Caenorhabditis elegans: one gene and its partner. The protein of the gene in region 1 interacts with the protein of each later gene in a pairwise test. Each region holds a gene or a part of one and is shown in the gene's direction. Other genes may lie near its edges.

What was found.
Region 2: the proteins of K08B5.2 (region 1) and end-3 interact in a two-hybrid assay, tested with the Caenorhabditis elegans proteins (one large-scale study listed by BioGRID).

What each region holds. Positions count from the first base shown.
Region 1 is NC_003284.9:16,549,884-16,557,016, reverse strand, and holds K08B5.2 (F-box domain-containing protein), read left to right. Parts: upstream 1-3,129; 5' UTR 3,130-3,140; coding exon 3,141-3,218; intron 3,219-4,209; coding exon 4,210-4,356; intron 4,357-4,424; coding exon 4,425-4,514; intron 4,515-4,582; coding exon 4,583-4,739; intron 4,740-4,938; coding exon 4,939-5,087; intron 5,088-5,147; coding exon 5,148-5,281; intron 5,282-5,433; exon of another isoform or gene 5,434-5,508; intron 5,509-5,629; coding exon 5,630-5,786; 3' UTR 5,787-5,850; downstream 5,851-7,133. Other genes in the region: Intraflagellar transport protein osm-1, read right to left, coding at 5,871-5,970, 6,051-6,265.
Region 2 is NC_003283.11:14,012,121-14,017,952, forward strand, and holds end-3 (GATA-type domain-containing protein), read left to right. Parts: upstream 1-2,574; 5' UTR 2,575-2,580; coding exon 2,581-2,836; intron 2,837-2,891; coding exon 2,892-2,981; intron 2,982-3,028; coding exon 3,029-3,284; intron 3,285-3,603; coding exon 3,604-3,730; 3' UTR 3,731-3,857; downstream 3,858-5,832. Other genes in the region: aip-1 (AN1-type domain-containing protein), read left to right, coding at 459-516, 568-662, 710-784, 842-1,062, 1,110-1,167, 1,219-1,320; srh-308 (Serpentine Receptor, class H), read right to left, coding at 3,858-4,033, 4,077-4,380, 4,431-4,624, 5,138-5,456.

The sequences.
Region 1 (7,133 bases):
AAGGAGAAGCAAAAGGAGATGAAGCTGACATCCATCCGTCCGAGGGGATAGGAAAAGTGATAGATCTTGCCGCCTGGTGGCCAGCAGCATACTATCATGGGCATCACTACTATGGATTCTGATAGCGGAGAGATCTTATCAGAAAAAAATAACGAAAAGTGCAAAAGGGAAAATAACAGATTTGGATTTTGTTTCCCAATTTCCTGATTTCCCAAGATTTTCCCCGATATTAAATTTTAACATTAAAGAAACATGAAAAACCAATGTTTTCCAACAGACTATCAATCACCAGCTGTCAAAAAATAAGGAAAGTGATCGTTTGGCACGTTTTATAGTAGCCGTTTGTACGCCCATCTTTTTTTCTCTCAGTTTCTCGACTCACTTAACTGGTTACTGTAGCAATTATGACTTTGAAGGATGTAGAGACACACGACCAGCCAATCCAAGAAACATAAGATGAACACTAGTTCCAGTAGTTGTGATGGCGGGAAGGATTATGGTCAGGGGGATAGGGGGGAAGTTTTGGTTAGTTGGTGCGAAATAGGTGCACATTATCCCTCTATTCAGTACTGTAGTACTGTCATGTCATTCTACAGAGATTTAGATGACAGGAGACGAGTGGAGTATGAGTGGAATATCGCAGACCTCAACTGATGTCGGCTGCTCAGAGGGCAGAGTAAAGCTACAAGCAACAAAATATACTGTGGAATATGACTAATTTCTCATAGGAATAAGGAAAAATAACGAAAAAGGCATTATATTTTTTGATTACAAATCCTATAGGGCTAAAATGGCAGCCGTAAAAAAATAATAATTCCCCAATGAGTAAATAATTTTAGGTATTACGTCTGCCTTTTCAATTAAAAAAATACATCCTAAAAAATATCACATAAATTTTGCTCGCATTTTTGTTTTGTATTTCTTCATTCACATCTCAACATTTGAATTTTTCCCGCTACGTTACAGTTTTAGTATTACAACAAGTACACACTCACAGTTCATTGCCAAAGAAAAGGGGTAAAATATATGAAGGAAATGAGATAACATCTGACTTTGAAATTATCCATTCGCTGAGTAATTCGTCTCTTATCTGCTTTATCTGTCTTTCAAGGTGAGTGACCAAATCGTTTTCACTTTCAGACAACCTCGCCCCCCGACACCGTTTCACTTTTCCATCAATTCTCTGAAACAGTTACTTGTTGCTAACGATTCGAGAGTTTAAATTCGGGTCTTTTGAAGTGTATCCTTAATTTTTACGTAATTAGGCACTAGAAAACATACCGATTATCTTCTATTAATATGGCCTCCCTATTAGACTTGCACTCCCTTTTAGTATTGCCCCTCGGAGACCTTCCGAAAATTAGTATTGCACTCCCTATTAGTCTTGCACTCTCTAATAGTCTTGCGTTAACTTTTTTGTATTGCAAACCCGTCTCGCTAATTTCAGGATTTCAACAACATTTTTTGCCTATTTTCCAACAGTTTTCACATCATTTCTACGAGATTGAAGTTTTTGAACTTATATGAAAATCAAATTTTCTGAATTTTTACATATGATTCGCGTTTTTTTCAGGAAAAAACTAGTAAGCTCAAAGTCAGAAAATGTTCTGAAAATTAGTATTGCACTCCCTAATAGTCTTGCACTCCCTATTAGTATTGCAAGCGGGAAGACCATCGAAAAATAGTATTGCAGCCATATCAATAGAAGAAATCTATATTCTTCTGTCAGATTTTTGAGCTCAATTCCAAAACTGTTCATTGTGAGAATAGAAGTTTTGCTCCGAAAGAGTCTTTTCAGTGGATTTATTTCTTTTAGGTACTTTTTCAAAAATAAATTACAGTTACTTTTTTTCATGAGCTTTACCCCAAATCGTTCAACATTTTCCAAGATTCACCGTGACCGACTGTTTGAGCTTTGGAACGATATTTTAAAATTCCACCTGAACATTGTATTTTGATGTCGTTTTGTATAGGAATAAATGCAAATGTCATTGGAAATAATTTTTGCGGTATATATTTGAAAGGTTTTTAACGCCGAATTTTTTACTACTTTATTAGACTTGAAATTTTCTCAAAACACCTAATTTCATAATGAAATTTCTCGAAAACTTCTCAAAAAAATAGTTATGGCGGCTCAAAAAATTACATAAAATTAGTTAAAATTTGAAATTTGACCTACTTGTCAAGATAATTAACTTGTATATTTAAAATTAAAAAGCGATTTCAAAAAATTAGTTTCAAACCGCTGCGACATACAAGTCGGCCAAATTTCAAATTCTTATTAGTTTTAGGTCGTTTTTTGAGCTGCCATAACTTTTTTTCGAGGCGTATTTTCAAAAAGTTTCATTATGAAAAATCGGTGTTTTCAGACAATTTCGAGTCTCATAAAGTAATAAAAAAAATTGACTACACCACCTTTTATATCTACTTGAACTTTCTGAAAATATGACAAAAAACGAGCTTGAAAAACATTTTAGTATCACAAATGAGGAAACTTAAATTTATTTCAGTCTCAAGCACTCAAGTCAATCATAAGACTGGAAACAATTTATTCTAAACTACTCTAGGTATGTGGAAAAATTGTTTAGAATATGTAAAATGCTTTTAGATCCTACTTTACCAAATTTCTTCTCTTTTACTATAATTTCTTATCAATGACAACAAAACCAAGATCACAGAAACAACGTGCTCTTTGTGTTGTTATCTTTCACTTGTCTCTGTTAACCTACCTCGAGAACACATATCAATAGATCGTTTCTTCATATTCTCTATTTGCTCTCAACTCTCTTCCGTCAATCAGATGCCTGTCAACAAACTTTCCACCTTTTGTTTACTGCTCTATCCTCCTTAAGCCTGCAACCTGCCAATTTGCATATAATCCAATTGGACTCATAACTATAATTGTTCTTGGGTGCTTCCATCATTGCCATGTTATATTAGTTTCCTCCTGCGTTTCTTGTGCTCAATGCTCATTTTTTCTTAACCTATCTGCGTCTCTGTCAGCTGATGAATTCTGTCGTATCTTCTTCACTTGTCCATTGCTCCATTTTCTCACCATCTTCTTTTTTTAACCAATTTATTTTTTTTTGTTGGTTTTCATCATGTCTTAACGTGGTGGTCATATTTCAGAAAATTTGGATATGGAGCACTTACCAAATGAAGTAAAAGTTATAATTCTAGATGAGTGTGACTACACGGATTGCATTTGTTTTAGAGCTGTGAGTTTTTAATGTTTTTTTAATTGAAAAGTAATGATTTTTAGAATTTGTATTTCATGAGTAACGCAAAATTTAGTATTAAAAATTTTTTAAGTTCACATTATAATTTAAACATTTTTGCAAATTAAATCCTTAAATCAAATTATTATTATTTTTATTAAAATAAATTTTTTTTTCTTAATAAACTTCGACGATTTAAAAAATGAGAAAAATGTAAAACAAAGCAGTAATTAAAATAAATGAAATTCCGGCGGCACAGCCAAGTGAATAAAATCTCAAAAATTGTATCTTAATAAAAAAAAACTTTGCTCTCCTATTTGAAATTTCGAGAAGCCCCATTATCAAATTATACATTTTCGGAGCTAATTTCTGCCCATTAAAGATGAAGTAAGGAGTATATGATACCAAAAAAGCTTTTTCTCATGACATAAGTCTTCAAATAAATCAGTTTAAAAGCAAAAACCGTCAGTGCCGCAGCGGCCTAAAGTTTTATTTTGATTGGCACTCATTAGTCCATAATTATTTTTTTAATCATGTTTGAGCAAACATGAAAAGTATAACCGTAGTTATAAAAAATAACTCCGGTGATGAAGTCATTTTGGCAAAACACCAAATTGTAGCTGAAATTGCTCATTTTCAAGACTGGAAATTTTCAACATTTCTGACTGTAAAATTCGGTTTTTTTGGGCCAAAAAGGCCAAAGGCTGTGATATTAGTAGATTACCTTCAGAGTGAAAAAAAACCCTAGAGTATTATGTAATGAAATGTATTTCTATTTCGAGCATACTTTGGGAATTATTTTTTCTTTCTATTTGAGAATTCGTGTTTTTAACTTGCAACAAAAAGTGTCTCAAAAAAAATCACAGAAAATTTCGTAGAAACTCGGGAGATATCAGATTACATTGTGTCGTCATACTTTTTCTTGGTCTGAAATTCGATCTTATCTTTCACTCAATCTCATTTTCAACTTTCACCCGCCACTTCTTTGCAGACATCAAGCAAAAACTACGACGTCGGAACCTATGTGCTTACCAAGACGAGAACTTTCGATTTCCGGCTGTATCGTTCTCATATTGGAATGCAAAGTCTTGAAAATGAGAAGACGACAAAAAATGGAAGCCATTTCAATCCAACGAAGGTGATAAATCACTTTCCATCATTACACACACGCTGCTAAATGTTTTTGTTTCTTATCACTTATTTCAGATGATCAATTTCATGGATCTTTTACCCGGTTTACGGAAACTAGTGCTTGCTGACTTACCGTGTATTTTCACGATGAGTGATATGATAAAAGTGAGACGGGGGGGGGGGGGGGGGTTCTCGAGATTTTTAACAAAAAAAGAGAAAACGAAAAATTTCAGTTGGGAAAGTCTCTGCCAAATCTGCAAAAATGTGTGATCATCGAGAGTGAAGAGCGGAAATGGATGGGGAAGGATGTGCTCATGGGGCTGACTTACTTCAAATCGCTAGAAAAATTGAAAGTGGTTAATTGGGAACCGTCACATGTTACAAGAAGAGGTTGGTTTTTGTAAGGAAATAATAAAAATAGATATCGTGAAGTTATAATTCGGAACATTTATATGCTAATGGATATTACACTAAAAAGCCAATTTGTGTCCAACCTTTGTAACTATGTAGAGAGATTATCAAAAAAATATACTCGAAATTTTTCTCTGAAATCACTTCTACGTTTTTCAATAACACCGTTCATTTCCAGGTTGTGCTTCGCGAAACGAGACCATCCCAGCGAGTACTCTCCGAAACTTGATCAACTTCACAATCATCTGCAATAAGGAGACAGTGTCCAAAGTTTTACAATATTTACTCGAGAACGAAATTTATTTGACAAAATGTGTCAAGGCCAAAGTAAGTTCGACTACAAAGTTTGTGAAATTTCAATGCAATTCATCATCTTCGCAATTCCAGTTTAACGTACGTCTGTCCTCGCCGGATATTCCCCATCTTATCATGAAGTTCATCGAATGCCACCCACACATTCAAGAGATTGCTTTCAACGGGTTTCTTTTCACAACACAAGAGCAAGTGCAGGCTTTTTACGGGTAAGGGGCCACAATATTGGCACGTGCAAAAACTTTTGGGATATGAGAATTTATCTTGTTTTATGACACAGTACAATTAGTAGTACAATTAATAGAAAGTAAAATATAGTACAATTAATAAAAACTCTTTAAACAAAAAAGTAAAAAAGAAATGCCCCGAACCAGGATCGAACTGGTGACCTTACGATCTTCAGTCGTACGCTCTCCCAACTGAGCTATCGAGGCACATGGGTTGACCACCGACGCTAGCCTTTACAAGGGGGAAGTGTGCACGCTTTAGGGCTATTTCGTCGTTTTTTGATAAAAATTTTGCGCTGGGCTAAAAAACGTGTATAAATCAATTTCCAGGCACCTTCTTGCACTACCACAACTTGAAAGAGTTCAACTGGAGAACTGTTCAGTTATTGAAAGGATTGAGCAGGCTCTACAAAAAACCTTCTTGGACGCTTTACGACGGCGAGGAATTAGGTTCACAAATCTGGTTAAGAGCTTACGACATGGGTAAAAAAATTACATAATTATATATATATACACTGTTTATTTTGCTCAAAAATAAAATGATTGTCATTCAAGTTTTGGTGATGGCGCATCACAACGAAATAGCCAACGGCGATCCAGCCCACTTCGCAACAAAATTTTGCACATTCAGTAGGTTCTCCGTCTGATTTGACTTGATCACAACGAGAAACCTGAAATAGAAAACACTATGGAGGTTAGGATACTGTATATGAATTGATTGTCGATCGAAAACCATCAAAAATCAACGTACTTGTTCAAATTGTCCTTTTCGGCGACCATACTTCCAATGCGAACTGTACTCTCAATGACCGGATAGCCAGTTACTAGACACGGTTCGGCCGTACCTCTCTTATCTTTAAGGGAAGCTTCGAAGACTCCTCGCTTATCATATACTAGCTCTTTTGCGTGAGCATCATCGACTGATGAGGCAAGAACCCATTCTTTCATTTCCTCGTGTTTGGCGCTCTGGAAAATAAAATGTTGTGATCATGAGACTACATGTGGACTACAGTTTGAAAGTGTGACCACCAAGTTGCACGGAAATGTATGTACGTCCAAGAAAATAATTTATGGGCAGAGAACGGTTTTTAAATGAATATTCTCATGTGATAATACTTAATCAAAACATAATTTTTTATAGGAAGTAGTAAGACGGGTTCCGAACTGACATGCTATTCTCACCATCGATTAAAGAAATAATAGGGATTGCGAAAAAATTACTGACACTTTTAGATGTAAACGGGAAAATTTTTGTTAATAATCAATAAGCTGCTCCGAAACAACACCAGCCTAAATTGATATTTAATTTGCGGTATAATTGCTTCACTTTTTAGTGGAATTTGTTTAGACTGTAAACGCGTTTTAAACTTTTTTCAGAACATATTTTCATAGAAAGCCCCAAAATACGATTTTATAGAAATTTTTTGAAACAATCTGAAAGCTTTATGAAAAGGATATCTAGGCTCTGTTCAAAATTGAATTCCTCCAATAAAACGTTCGTAATTAACTATTCTTAACATAAGAATTCAGAACAGGGGTATGCGGCAAATTTGCCGAATTTGCCGAATTTGCCGTTTGCCGAGCTTGACAAATTTGCCAAATTCGCCAAGCACGGCAAATTTCAAAAAACGTAGATTTGCTAAATTTGCCGAGCTCGACAAAATTCGAAATTTGCCGCACACATCAAAAATTTTACAATACAATTTTGATCAAAACTATTGATTTTGCCTTCAAAAATTCAGTAAAATGATACAGAATAGTTATTTTGATGTTCAAGCAGATACACCATCTTATTCAGAAATCATATGTGTGGTAAGAATTCAGTAGTCTTGGT
Region 2 (5,832 bases), on another chromosome or scaffold:
AAAATAATGGGAAAAACAACTTTTAAATCGTTCGAAAAATCGAATTTAGAAAGAAAAAACAGAAAAAGATGAAAGGTTTTGGGACAAATGCGAGAGACGAAAATCAAAAAAAGCGGGAGAAGGAGGTGCAAAGCGGTTTCGCTGTGAGACCCACCGCACGTTTAATGTCATGCGCCTTTAATCCAGCTGTACGCAGTGACGTCACGAAATACTGAAAGCGTCACGTTTTCTAGCGAATCAGCTGATATTGATTTCAAAAATCTTGAAATTGAATTATTCAATTTTTTCTCGTTCTAAAAAGTCCAAAAGCTTTCAATAATATATAAAAATCAATAATTTCGTAACCCGATGTCTGGCATTTCTGGTAAATTCTAGAATTTTTCCAATTGTCATCATTTCTTGTGTTTAAAAGTCTATATTCTCTCGTTTCCTATCAATATCGTTTGCTTTATTCAGCTATGGCGGAGTTCCCAAATCTCGGAAAGCACTGTGAGAGCACAGTTTGCAACAGACTTGGTAAGTCAACATTTAAAAAAAATTAATTAAATAAAAAAATAATTATTTCAGATTTTCTTCCAATCAAATGCTCCGGTTGTGGACATTTCTACTGCTCAGAGCACTTCACATTTGAGGCTCATAATTGTCCGACTGGCTCAAGAATTGTAAGTGTTTGAAAATCTTTTTTTAGATTAAAATTATTAAATTTCAGTCCGTTCAAGTTCCTATTTGTCCTATATGTGAGAAGCCAGTTCCAACGCCGAAAGATGTCAATGTTGATCAACAAGTAATTATTTTGAAATTATTCCTGCAAAAATATTGATAAAAATTGTTTCTTTTTCAGGTCAATGAGCACATTCAGAACAATTGTCAGACTCCGAAACGTGCAAAAGTATATTCAAACGCGTGTACCGTCCCAAAATGCAAGAAGAAAGAGCTGGTAGCCATGAATTGCTCAAAATGTCGAAACAACTACTGCCTTTCTCACAGACACGAGCGGGATCACAGTTGTGAGCGAAAAGTTGGCGAAATGAAGATAAATCAGAAAAAGAGCTGGACGGATTCGTAAGTTTATTGTTTTGAATAAATCGAATTTCAAGGTATTTTTCCAGAATCACATCAATCGCGCGTTCCCGAATGAATCCATGTTCCGCACAAGCAAGAACAGAGGTTTGTATCTATTTTCAAAAAAACAACTAACTAAATCACAAATGTTTCCAGGGAGATGAAGCTCTGGCTCGTTCTCTACAACAAGAAGAATACAATCGAGTTGCACCGCCGCATCAAACAAGAAATTCCAATTCCAACTGCACCGTCTCATAGCATCCAATTTAGTGTATATTTATTTCCCTTCTCATATTTTCTGTACAATTTGCATTTCTCTTCAACCTTGTTCTAGTTCATATCCGTGTCAAAACTTTTATTCATTTCACTTCGCCAACTTCAGTCCTACTAAAATATTGATTCTTTGTACAATGTTGAATACTTTTTCTTTTTTCTTGATATATGAAATTGTTCACCTGCTTTGAACTGTTGTTAATGGGTGTTCTGGGGTTCACAAAGTAAAATAAGAGTTTTGCAAACTTTTGACTGAAACGAAATTTGGACTTTTCAAACATTTTTTACCTAATTTTGAGAAATGCATCTTTTGGCTCAAAGGTGAGACTCACTGTGTAGGTCTCGACGCGAACAAAAAATATTTCGCGCAAAGGCGTGTGTTCCTTTAAATAGTACTGTCGCCAATTAATTTTTGCAGTTTCTACAGTATATCCCACGTGGTGTCAGAGTGTCCCATATCGGTTTGATCTTCGTAGATCTACGGGAATAGCGGTAATTTGACGCAGATTTCTCAACTACCAAAAATATTTGTTGGTTGAGAATTGAACAGAAAAAGAAGAAGAAAATACAAGCATGTCGAGCTTTACACAACTTTATCTAATAAATATTCAATTAATTTGGATCAGTTTTCTCTTTCAGCAATTACAAAAAATTTTGTTCCGTTAAAATTGTGAATGATTGGATTTGGAGAGAATCGAGTTTTTGGAAAAATAAAAAACAAGAGCAACGTGTTATGGTATTATTCATGTGATCTTTTAAAATGCAAACGTGTATTTTAATTTAATTGTTCCCCTATCAGAACCTCTCTAAATTTCACGTGTTTCAAATTCCCTCTTTTTCTCTCTACTCTTTCACTCTCGCACGTGAAAAACTTCTTTCCGAATGATAATTTGTGTTTAAAATGGAAATTTTATTGAAGTAAAATTTATGAAACAAATACTTTTAGTTTAAATCCGAGATGCACTTCTATTTGAGAGAGCCCACGGTAAATTAAAAAAGAAGTAAAAGTATACCAAACAAGTATGTTCCAAGTGTTCCGATGGCTCCGACAAAAGAGTATACACTGATTGTATAATCGGTTAGATGAATAGCTGAAAGTATACCACGTTCAAAGCACACCCCGCCTTGTGTCTCTTCTAGAAAAAGGCGGTTGCTGAAAAGTATACGGAACGCTGAGGCACGCCCTCTTCTTACCATGATTTGCTCCAAGATAAATGAATAGGCATTCTCATTCAAAGTATAAACATGTACTCGAACTCATTCTCTTCATCATCTTCATCTTCCAACTCACCAATGTCTTTTGATTTTGGATTCCCTCAGTTTCCCGAACAAGTCCAATTCAATGAAGAAGGCTACGGGACACCATCTCCAGATGTCCTCCAGAATATGAATTATCATCATTATCCGGCACAAGATATGACGACAAATTCATACAATGGAGGCTATGACAATTCAATGCAACAGAATTTTATGCAACCAGATAATGGTGCAGGATACTACAGTGAGTTTTAAAAAACTATTTTATTTTACTTTTATATTTAAAATTAATGTTTCAGATGAAAACTATCAACAGATGCCTGATTTTCAATTTCCAGTTCAAAATTTTGATTTTACAAATCAATTTGAATTCACGACGCCTATTAATGGTATAATTAACTATGAAACTTACAGCCTAATCTTAAATTTATTTTAGACCTCCAGCAATCTCAAACTTCCATCAACCACACCAATCCCGACAACAATGAAAATTCCATGCCAGAGATACCAATTGACGGGGGCTTCAACTTTTTTCCAGCTCAAGAAGTTCAAGAATGGAAGCCAGCTAGAAAAGCTTCGAAAAATAAAATCAAGAAGATTTCCACAATGCATATCAACTCTTCGTGCTCCAATTGTGGATGTCGGGAAACGAAATTGTGGAGGAGAAATGAGCAAGGAGAAACTGAGTGCAAGTAAGTTTGAATTATTTTGAATGTTCTATTTAAATTACGATTACAGTCAGTGAGAAAATGTTTAAAAATCATTCCTATGCTGATAAAGTTACCAGATACCGCAATGAAACTTTTTATCATCTTTTTGAAATGTTTTATTCATGTCGAAAAGTAGTAAAAACTCTTTTTTTAACCACTTATCGAGAAATTCAAAGCATTGTCTGTTTTTTGATCGACGATTTTCAAAAAAAAATTGGTGGAAATTTTTTTCACTATTTTTTGAGGGCTCTCTAGGTGTAAAAGTTTTGAACTTGAGTTTTTTAAATCTCATATTTTTCAGTCCGTGTAATCTTTACGAACGAGTCAAAGGACATAAAAGACCACAACATCTTTGGAATAAGCCAGCTGCCAAGAGAAGACGCCGTCCAGTTGCTCCACTTGTTGACTCTAATGCTTTTAATTTTTGATTTAACTGATCAACTCTGTGCAATAAGCATTATTATTTTTCTAATCAAACATGACCTTTCGGTTATAATTTAACTATTTGTTTTATTTCCCCTCTGCTGGTTTCCATAATAAATAAATAAAAAAACTTCATGCTCTTGATACTACAGTTTTCCAGATCAATTGTGAATTTCGAACAGCTTGTTCAGATTTGAAATGTAGTGTTGCAAGAATTGATTTCCTGTGTGGAGTGTGAACAATAAGCATGACTATAGTGGAAAGAACTCCATGACATGCAATTGCAATCATCGCAATGTTTGTGGCAGCTGGAAAAATGATTTTTTTTTTCAAATTTCAGCTTAATTTTACCTTGATTATAGTAATCATTTTCCGAAGCCATGACAAAATATGAAACTGGTAATGAGATGAATGCAACTGGAATAAATATTTGAATACACATTGAATAGAAGAATTGCTTTTGTAAGCGAGCAGTAGTTGCCGAGAGAGACACTGTTTGGGAAAAGTATCGAAAAATTGCTCCGAGAAAATACAATTTTTGGGGAAGACATATGAAGAACATGCTCAAAAGACAGGCATTGACTATTGTATTATCAGTGGCAAATACAAAATATTCCCGACGATTGAGAACTTCATTTGGAATACATGGATTTATCTGTAATTCACTTTTTGGTTAAAGCTTTCAAAAAAAAAACGAAAACTCACATTTTTCACATATTGCTTTGCTACTTCAGGATTCGGTAGTTTTAAATATGCGGGAATAATAAACGTCACTGATATAGTATAATTTAATACAACATATAAGGTACGTTTCCAGTTCAGTGATCCGTTTGTTGTATGCCCATGTATTAGTCGGTGATAGCGATCTTCGAAGAATATGGTTACAGCCACGCACATCACTGAAATATATTGAATTGTTCGGTTCCTCTCAAATTGAATAATTTAAAAAGGAATAGTAGCTTGAAAACCCTAGAGTAAACATTAAATTCGTAACTTGGGGAACTTGCTGTCAAACTTTGGCAGTTCTCTGTCCAACCTTCCAACAAACTTAGTCAATCTTCTGCCAAACTTTGGAAACTTTTGGTCAAACTTAGACAACCTACTGTAAAATTCTGGGATTTTTCTCTCAAACCTTGACAACTTACTCACTCTCGGAAGTTACAAAGGTTCGACAGAAAACTGCCGAAATTGGACAGAAAGTTGTCAAAGGTGCGTTGCCAAAATTTGGCACGAAGTTTTCTTTAAATAAAAAGCCAAAGACATCACAAAAAAATTGGGAATCAAATAATTTGTTATTGAGATTAGATTAATTCATATCGAAACTGAAAACATAATAAAGCTTCTGTTTTCAATAAGACGTTTTATATTTATTATACTATTACCATTAGTTAGCCAATTCAAAATAAACTAACCCCCAACAAAAACACATCCAAGATAAACCTGAACATCAGTTGGAATACCTAATATTAAAGAGAATCCAAGAGGATATCCTGAACTGACAGGTAGTGTTAGCATTGGAGATGCAATAAAGCTTAGATATAAATCGACGATTGCTCCCACAATGTGCAATAAGACCATGTTGAACTTTACAGAACATATTTTGCGCGGAGTTTTAGTTAAAATAATATATGCTCCGAACAATTGAACGGTCACTTCGATGGCTGTAGGTACGTGAAGAATTCCAGCATAGAACTCATCAGTCGCAAATAAATTAATATCCTCGGTGCACATTTTGAGGTATTGAGGTAATAAAGTAAATCACGGAGAGAAATTAAAAAGGGATAAAAGCTCATAATTTAGCTAGGAAACGTTTTCACCTGTTCTAAAACTGATCACTCAATAGGATAAGCTTTTCGCGTCTGAGATCTTTTGCACATGTTCTTTGGTAGTTTCCATCTAAACCCATTCAAACATATGAGATCAAAAGTTAGTAAATACTTTAAGCAAATTTCCAACAAAAAAATTCCAAAAATTTCCAAATGTTCGAGATATTGAAAATTGATAACCTCATTAAAAGTTTGGGCACAATTTTTAAATTTTCAGTCGCACTATTTGTAGTTTTTAACAATTTGGTTGATGCATTAATTGATTTATTAAGTGAAAAGCA